Linked DNA regions of Mus musculus. The protein of the gene in region 2 interacts with the protein of the main gene of each other region in a biochemical or structural test. Links are inferred from orthologs where the notes say so. Each region holds a gene or a part of one and is shown on either strand. Other genes may lie near its edges.

Region 1 (3,794 bases), on a different chromosome or scaffold from region 2:
TATGTGAGTAGCGCCCCCTAGAGATAAGCATGTTATCACAGTCAACATGGATTTCCTAAAACTTTCAACATCAAGCTGAGTAATATGTCCTGAAACTTTTGCTTGATTCCATTGCTATTTACTGGGGGGTTATTTAATAAGTAGGTTCTCCTCTATAGATTCTAGTGAAAAATTTTAAGTGGCCACAGCTCATCAGTGAGGGGAAATACACACACACACACACACACACACACACACACACAATTTTCAAATTCATTTTTGGAGTGGATGCCTGAATTTACCTTTCTTCCGAAAGTATCTCATCAACAAGTAGAGCAATGAGGACGATGTCAGGAGTGAGGTTCCTGCCGCAGAAAGTGCAACTACCAAGGGACGGGTGGGGCTGACTGGGGCTGAGGAAACAAATTGGGAGGAGACAGTATAAGCAACACTTGGCTTTCGAGTCTTTCGGCCTTGCCGTTTGGCCTTTTCTCTGTATATTTATTACTATCAGCAGAAGATTTATTACTGTCATTGAAGATTTAATCAACTCCTCTCAAACCGCCGTTGAGGCTGCATATCGTGCTCCCAGTTAGGACGTAGCCTTGTAAAGCTCTTTGGCACTACGTCACGTCACCATACCTCGGTTAGCACTGAACTACCCCTGCCTTCTCTCACACACACTTATTTCCTGCTCCTCCTTTTGTCTCTAGATCTCCCCTTTCCAATGATCAGAATCCCACTTCGAGGGAGCAGAAACGGGAGGTATAACGGGAGAGAAAGGGAGAACAGAGAAGGACCAAGGAATAAATCATAACAGCGGGGGTCAGTGGTGAGCGTTGGAGAAGAAAGGGGGGTGTCAGAGAAGAACAGAACATTCTACCTGGTCCACAGACATCATTTCCTGTTGTCTTTTTATCCATCTCTATGACCTACCATTCTGATTTGGACATAATGGACAGTTAGCTTCCTTAGCAACATAACACCCCTCTTCCCTCTACTCCCCAAGGCAACCACCATCCATCAGTGCCTTACCTTCACAGGTAGGCGGCATCCCAGACCAGCGTCCCGTGGCACCACACGTCAGAACTGCAGATCCATTGAGTGTCCAATCATCAGGACATGTAAACTCACACACTGTGCCGAAAACTGCTGTTCCGCTGCAGCTCATGTTCATCTTTCCCGGGACGTCAAGGCTTGGACATTGTACCACTGCAAAGGACATGCCCATAGCGGAAGTCAAGAAACCCATACCACAAAACCACGGAGTTGATGTGTGTCATGAGAGTCTGAACTCAGTGTTACCTTGGCAGGAGGGGACTTCCTGGGTCCACTTTCCCTGAGATGTGCACTCAAGTTGAGCTGAGCCATGCAAGCTAAAGCCCTCATTGCATTGAAAGGCACATGAGGACTTGTAGGTGAATTCTCCAGTAGTAGCATGAGCACACTCCATGACGCCATTCTGGGGCCGAGGGACATCATCACATTTCACAGCTAGAAGAGAGAAGCCATTCCAAGATATAAGCATTGGGCTATAGCAGGTGTCACAGGGTAGCCAAGCCACAAAGATGTTCAATAGCTTCTATCTTACAGTAAAATCTAAAGTATGTCTGCAGGGGCCAGAGAGATGGGTCAGGGGGTAAAGGCATTTGCTACCAATCTTAGCAACTTGAATTTCATTCTTGAGACCCATATTATGGGACCCACATGAAAATCGACTCTGACAAGTTGTCCTCTGACTTCCACATATGGGTCTTGGAGTACACACACAGAGAGACAGAGAGAGACAGAATGAGAGAGACAGAGAGATAGAGAGAGAGAGAGAGAGAGAGAGAGAGAGAGAGAGAGAGAGAAATAGTTTTTAAAAAGCATGTACCTGAACACGTGGGCTTCTTGCTATCCCATTCCCCTCTTGGACCACACTGAAGTCTTCTTGATCCCTTCAGTTCAAATCCTTCTTCGCAGGAGAACTCACAACTGGACCCATTTTGGAAAGGTCCAGAAGCACTGGGAAGACATTTCATGTTGCCCTGCTGTGGCGCAGATAAGGCTTCACACTGGACAGCTGAGAAACCAGAGAAGGGGCGAGAAAACACCATGGTGAGACTGGAGAACACCTGTCATTTGATGGCAAAGTTCAACTGGCACAAGGCTATGAGTAAGGAACTCAAGATGGATCTTCATTGTGAATTTCTGGCAAAACGGCTGTTTCCTATGTGATACACATATTATATCTCCATGATAATGATGCCTAATTCGAGGCAACTATTAGCAAGAATATGGTCCCTCCATGCTGGTCTGATGTGCAGAGTGAGGTTAATGGGATTTTACATCACTGAAGAGCATGGCACGGGCCGTGACTGCTTCCACGTGCTGCCAGAAGAGGAAAGAGACGAAGCCTTCCATGCAGGGTTTGCCTGCTCTTGGCATGAGTTTGGCGTTGTGGCATTTTTGCCCCTGAAACTCACTCAATACTAAATTTAGCTCTAATGATGCCAGAGCTGCATAATGAAAACTGCTCACCTGGACATTCTTGCTTTTGCCGTAAAGACAATTACACTGTATTGCTTCTATGTCTGTGTCAAAACAATCCTTGTAGGTGACAGACACCAAGCTGGGGCTACTGTCATCACTGCTAGCTTGGAACTTCAGAAGTGGGTGATACAATGTGAGGGCTGAGCAGTACCTTCATTGTACTGAATTTTACATTTTAAACAGGATTTCTCATACGTTACTAATTCTTACTCTACGCCAATGCCAGTAAATTAATATTTAATATACCCTACTTTATAAACAAGCAAAAGAAATGTTACTTGCATCCAGTCGTGCTTCCTGGCTATGTGTTTTGTTTTTAAGTCAATGTCAGAGGTATTTCTCTTGCCCTCACGATTGGTATCATAGTTAACAGACGATACCTGATGTCATCGCCAGTGGCCAAGATGACAGGTTTTTTTTTTGTTTTGTTTTTTTGTTTTTAAAGAAATGAAAGCGTTAGAAGAGACAGTTTCTTACTCACCTTTGCAGACTGGGATTTGTGGTGTCCACTGCCCTTGTGCGCTGCATTCAACCTGCGCTGGCCCCTGCAACGTGAAACTCTGCTCACAGGTGAAGTTACAGGATGACTTAAACGCAAGTTCTCCAGCTGTTGAGTGGCTGCAGCTCACAAAGCCATTCTGAGGCTGAGGGATGGCGTCACAGGTCACAGCTGTAACACAAGCACCCATTCGCATTAGTAAAGCTGGCTTGCCCATTCCAAGCCTTGGTTGAGGAGGAGAGTTCGATGAATCTCAACCTGGAAGAACCCTACCTTTGCATGATGGCGTCTCGTTATCCCAGATGCCAGATGAGGTACACTGTAGATTCTGAGCTCCAACTCGCCTGTACCCTTCCACACAGTCAAACGTGCATGTCGTGTTCCATGGGTAGCTCCCAGGATTTGAGGAACATTTCCTGATACCGTGGGCAGGGTGGGTCAAAGCTTCACATTCAACCACTGAGGAGATGAAAGAGAGGAGAGAGTTTTACTCAAAGAAAACAAATGCTTTCATTTTCTCTTGAATTAGTGTTTGTCAAAGAAGATGAGACCATCTTCAAAGGGCATAACCCAAACTCCTGTGCCAGTTATGGATAACAGATCCATAACAGATGCTTAAGTCTTTACTACACTATTCACATTTTCATCTTTTCTCATTAATTTTCACTTTAACTGTGCTGGGTGGTCTCAGATCTATTTTACTACACATGGAAACAACAACAACAACAACAAAACCCATAGCCTCTAGATCAAGATCCAAGACTCACCCTAAAAACAATAT
Region 2 (3,822 bases):
TAAAATTTTTTCTTTGGGTTGGAGAGATAGCTCAGTGGTTAAGAGTACTGACTGCTCTTCCAGAGGTCCTGAGTTCAATTCCCACCAACCACATAGTGGCTCTCAACCATCTGTAATGGGATCTGATGCCTTCTTTTGGTATGGTTGAAAACAGCTAGAGTGTACTTACATAAATAAAATAAATAAATCTTAAATTTTTTTCTTCAATTTTACTCCCAAATAACATTTGATTATATAGGCATCATGATTAGAGGTTCTTCCCTGCCTCCCTTTTTGGTTTGAGGCAAATATATTATTTTTTACATTTATTTATTTATAGTGTGTGTGTGTGTGTGTGTGTGTGTGTGCGCGCGCGTGCGCGCGCTGGGGGTGGGTGAGTGTACTATAGCATGTGTGTGGCCAGAGGACAACCTGCAGAGATTGAGTAATCCTCCCTCCAATCATGTGGGCTCTGGGATGAACTCAAAGTCATCAGGCTTGGTGACATGTGCCTTTACCCTCTAAACAATTATGCCAGGCTTTACTTGATTTTAAGATGGAGTATGACTGTGTATTCAGACTGGCCTCAAACTTTAAATCCCCCCCCCCCCCCCCGCCTTAGCCTTCTGAGTGCCATCATGTGCTCTCACACCAGTTTATTCAAATATACTTCATGTACTTAAACAAAGGTGTCTCAATTCATCAGTCATTAATACCCAGAACGTCTCAATTCATCAGTCATTCATACCTCGATAAAGGCAATTCTGTAGAATCAGAGTTTGAAAATATTTGGGAAAAAGAAAAATGTGTTTGCATTAACTATAGACAAATGATTTTGTAACCATTATCCCCTAAACAATATAACGTAGCAATTTCGTTATAGCAGCACCTCATCTGCATTATGTGAGGTATTTTAAGAGATCTAGACACTATTTAAAATTCACAGGAGATGGGGGCTGGTGAGATGGCTCAGTGGGTAAGAGCACCCGACTGCTCTTCCGAAGGTCAGGAGTTCAAATCCCAGCAACCACATGGTGGCTCACAACCATCCGTAACGAGATCTGACGCCCTCTTCTGGAGTGTCTGAGGACAGCTATAGTGTACTTACATATAATAAATGAATAAAAAAAAAAAATAATAAAATAAAAAAAAAAAAATCACAGGAGAAATTGCTTAAGTTATACACAAACACCGTGCCATTTTATATAAGAAACACTAAGTTTCTCGGTGTTTGAGTATGTGGGTAGTGTTTTGAAATCAACCCTTTGTAAATACCACAAGAAAACTATATAAGAACATGTCTGTGAAAGCTGGGAGTGGTGGCGCATGCTAACCCCAGCACTTAGGAGGCAGAGGAAGGAGGATCAGAATTTCAAGAAATTCCTTGGTTCCATGCTGAGATTAAGGCCAATTCGGGCTATGAGACTGTATTCCAGAAACAATCACTCAAACCTAAACCAAAAAAGGAAGCAAGAGTTTGTGAAAGCTTTATGAAATTAGTAAGACTTAGTTCTTTTCAAAGAGGTACCTTTTCACTCATGGATTCTTCAAACTTATGGTTAAATAGGCATTTATACACTCTTCCTTCACCAGCTTGTGTCTATAAGATAAAACATACATATTATTACTATTAGCTAAGTAGTTTTGCTGTGATATATCCAGTCTTATACAGAACTTTTATTAAATACACTGTTAATTCAAAAACTCAAGGACATTATCAGAGGGACTCTCTTACAATTTGATACCACAGTCAATAAAACTTTATAATCAGTGGCTCTGATAGTTAATTTTAAAATTTCAAAACAGCAGGCAGAAGGGGAGGGCATACGTGAGTCAGAAAAGACAGATAGTGCTAAAGTGTATACAAAGATCAGGGATCCAGCATGTATAAGGTACTGCATTCAATCTGCAGCACAGAAAGGAAAGAAGGAAGCAAAGGAAGAAGAAAAGCAGGAAGGAAATGTAGACAGAGAAGAACTAAGAGGTGTCTAATGAATCATCAGGCTCTATCCAAGGACTTGGCTTTAACATTAGATAATTTCTCTTTCCCTTTTGTTGTTTGTTTGTTTGTTTGTTTGTTTGTTTTGAGACAGGGTTTCTCTGTGTAGCCCTAACTGTCCTGGAACTCACTCTGTAGACCAGGCTGGCCTCACAAGAGCCACCTGCCCCTGCCACCACATCCAGTCACATCTATTTTATTAACCTTAATCAAAACCATATAAAAATGTAATGTAACAGAGCTTTAGCCATAGGATATGAACAGGACTTCCTGGTAGAGTAAGGTTCCTATAGATAAAATAGAGTTTGTTTTTTCTGTTTTTCTTCAGACAAGGCCTCTGTATGTAGCCCTGGCTGTGCTGGAATCCCTTCTATAGAACAGAACTGTCAAACTCAAGATGTGATAGCCGCTGCTCCTCAGTGCTGGGGTTAAAGCGGTGTCCCACCTCTGCACCACAGATCAGTCTTCAACTGACACCAGCATGGTGGTCTACACCTTTAATCATAGCATTTAGAGAACAGAATCAGATGACTTGAGACTAGCCTGGTCTAAATAGTGAGTTCCAAGACAACCAGGGCTATACAGAGAGTATAAAAACCAACCAACCAACCAACCTAAAAAATGAAAGATGAGGGAAAGAAGAAAAAATAATGTATATACTGAGTGTCAGAAACAAATTGTTAACTTGAAGTTACATCTTCAAGACTGAGCATCAATACTATTTTTTGTATCTTGGGATTAATTCCATCTTCTGCTTCCGTTGTTTTCCTATTGGTGAAGGTTGTGCTGGTATATTTCATTCTGGAATACAATAATACAGATACACTTGAAAAGAAAGGAAAAACAGCTTTTTAGTAACTCACATTCTCGCAAAAGCGCTCCCGATCATCTCGGCAAGCAAAATACAAATGCCGGTCTAAATGAAAGTCATCCGAGGACAGCTCAGCCACCCTAAGAATGGCTTTCTTGCAGAGTTCTGAGACTTGAATCTTCGGCTCTTTTTCTTCTGCCTCTTTTACCAGGCCTTTTTCCAAACATGATACCACCTCACCTTGTGAATGTGCATCCTAAAATAGCAAAAATATTTAAAAACTTTCACCCTACAGTATTCAAATAAACATTTAGTTAAAGAAACGGGTGCAGAGAGACTGGACAGATAGCTCAACAGTTAATGAATTAGTATGGTTTAAATGTTAGGATACCTCCTCCCCCCATTAAAGCGGTAGGCTTTAAATTTTTAAATTACATCAGTTATTTAGTTTTGTACATGTATAGCTAGAAAAAATTGTTTGTTTTTTTCTTTTTTTGAGACAGAGTTTCTCTGTGTAGACCTGGCTGTTCTGCGCTTGCTTTTGGCAAGAAATTCATGAGAAAATAACCTATTGTTACAAGCACAGTTTATGTGAATACTGAAATAATACTGCAAAAGTACCTACTCATTTACCTCTAAGAGTTAGATATTTACAAGTTAAAGTGCTTTTATAGTCAAGTTTGAAAGACAACTGATGGGTCTAGTGGGTAAAGGTGATTTGCCACCAAACCTAATGTTCTATATTTAATCCCTGGTATACACATGAAGGGAGAGAAATGACTCCCCCAATTGTCCTCTGATCCTCATGTGTGCCAACACACACACACACAGACAGACAGACAGAGACAGACACTCTGTACTTAAAAACAAGCCAAGCACTGGGATTACTTCGATTATAGGTATGTGCCACTATCCCAGGCTATTGTTTTTTTTTTTCCAAAATAAAAATGTTTGCAAAGGTACCCTGAGTTTCTTCTGCCCATTTAGTAACTGAATTATATACAAATATATTTTGGTTGTGAGCCTAGCCTTT

What was found.
Region 1: the proteins of Glg1 (region 2) and Sele form a complex in vitro, tested with the Homo sapiens proteins (2 studies listed by BioGRID and IntAct). The link is inferred for Mus musculus from reciprocal best matches to the Homo sapiens genes GLG1 and SELE.

Annotation. Positions count from the first base shown.
Region 1 is NC_000067.6:164,051,215-164,055,008, reverse strand, and holds part of Sele (E-selectin precursor), read right to left. Parts: intron 3,473-3,794; coding exon 3,287-3,472; intron 3,185-3,286; coding exon 2,996-3,184; intron 2,553-2,995; exon of another isoform or gene 2,045-2,552; coding exon 1,856-2,044; exon of another isoform or gene 1,474-1,855; coding exon 1,285-1,473; exon of another isoform or gene 1,192-1,284; coding exon 1,015-1,191; exon of another isoform or gene 989-1,014; intron 393-988; coding exon 282-392; intron 1-281. UniProt on the Homo sapiens protein: Cell-surface glycoprotein having a role in immunoadhesion. Mediates in the adhesion of blood neutrophils in cytokine-activated endothelium through interaction with SELPLG/PSGL1. May have a role in capillary morphogenesis.
Region 2 is NC_000074.6:111,189,683-111,193,504, forward strand, and holds part of Glg1 (Golgi apparatus protein 1 isoform 2 precursor), read right to left. Parts: intron 3,046-3,822; coding exon 2,842-3,045; intron 1,580-2,841; coding exon 1,508-1,579; intron 1-1,507. UniProt on the Homo sapiens protein: Binds fibroblast growth factor and E-selectin (cell-adhesion lectin on endothelial cells mediating the binding of neutrophils).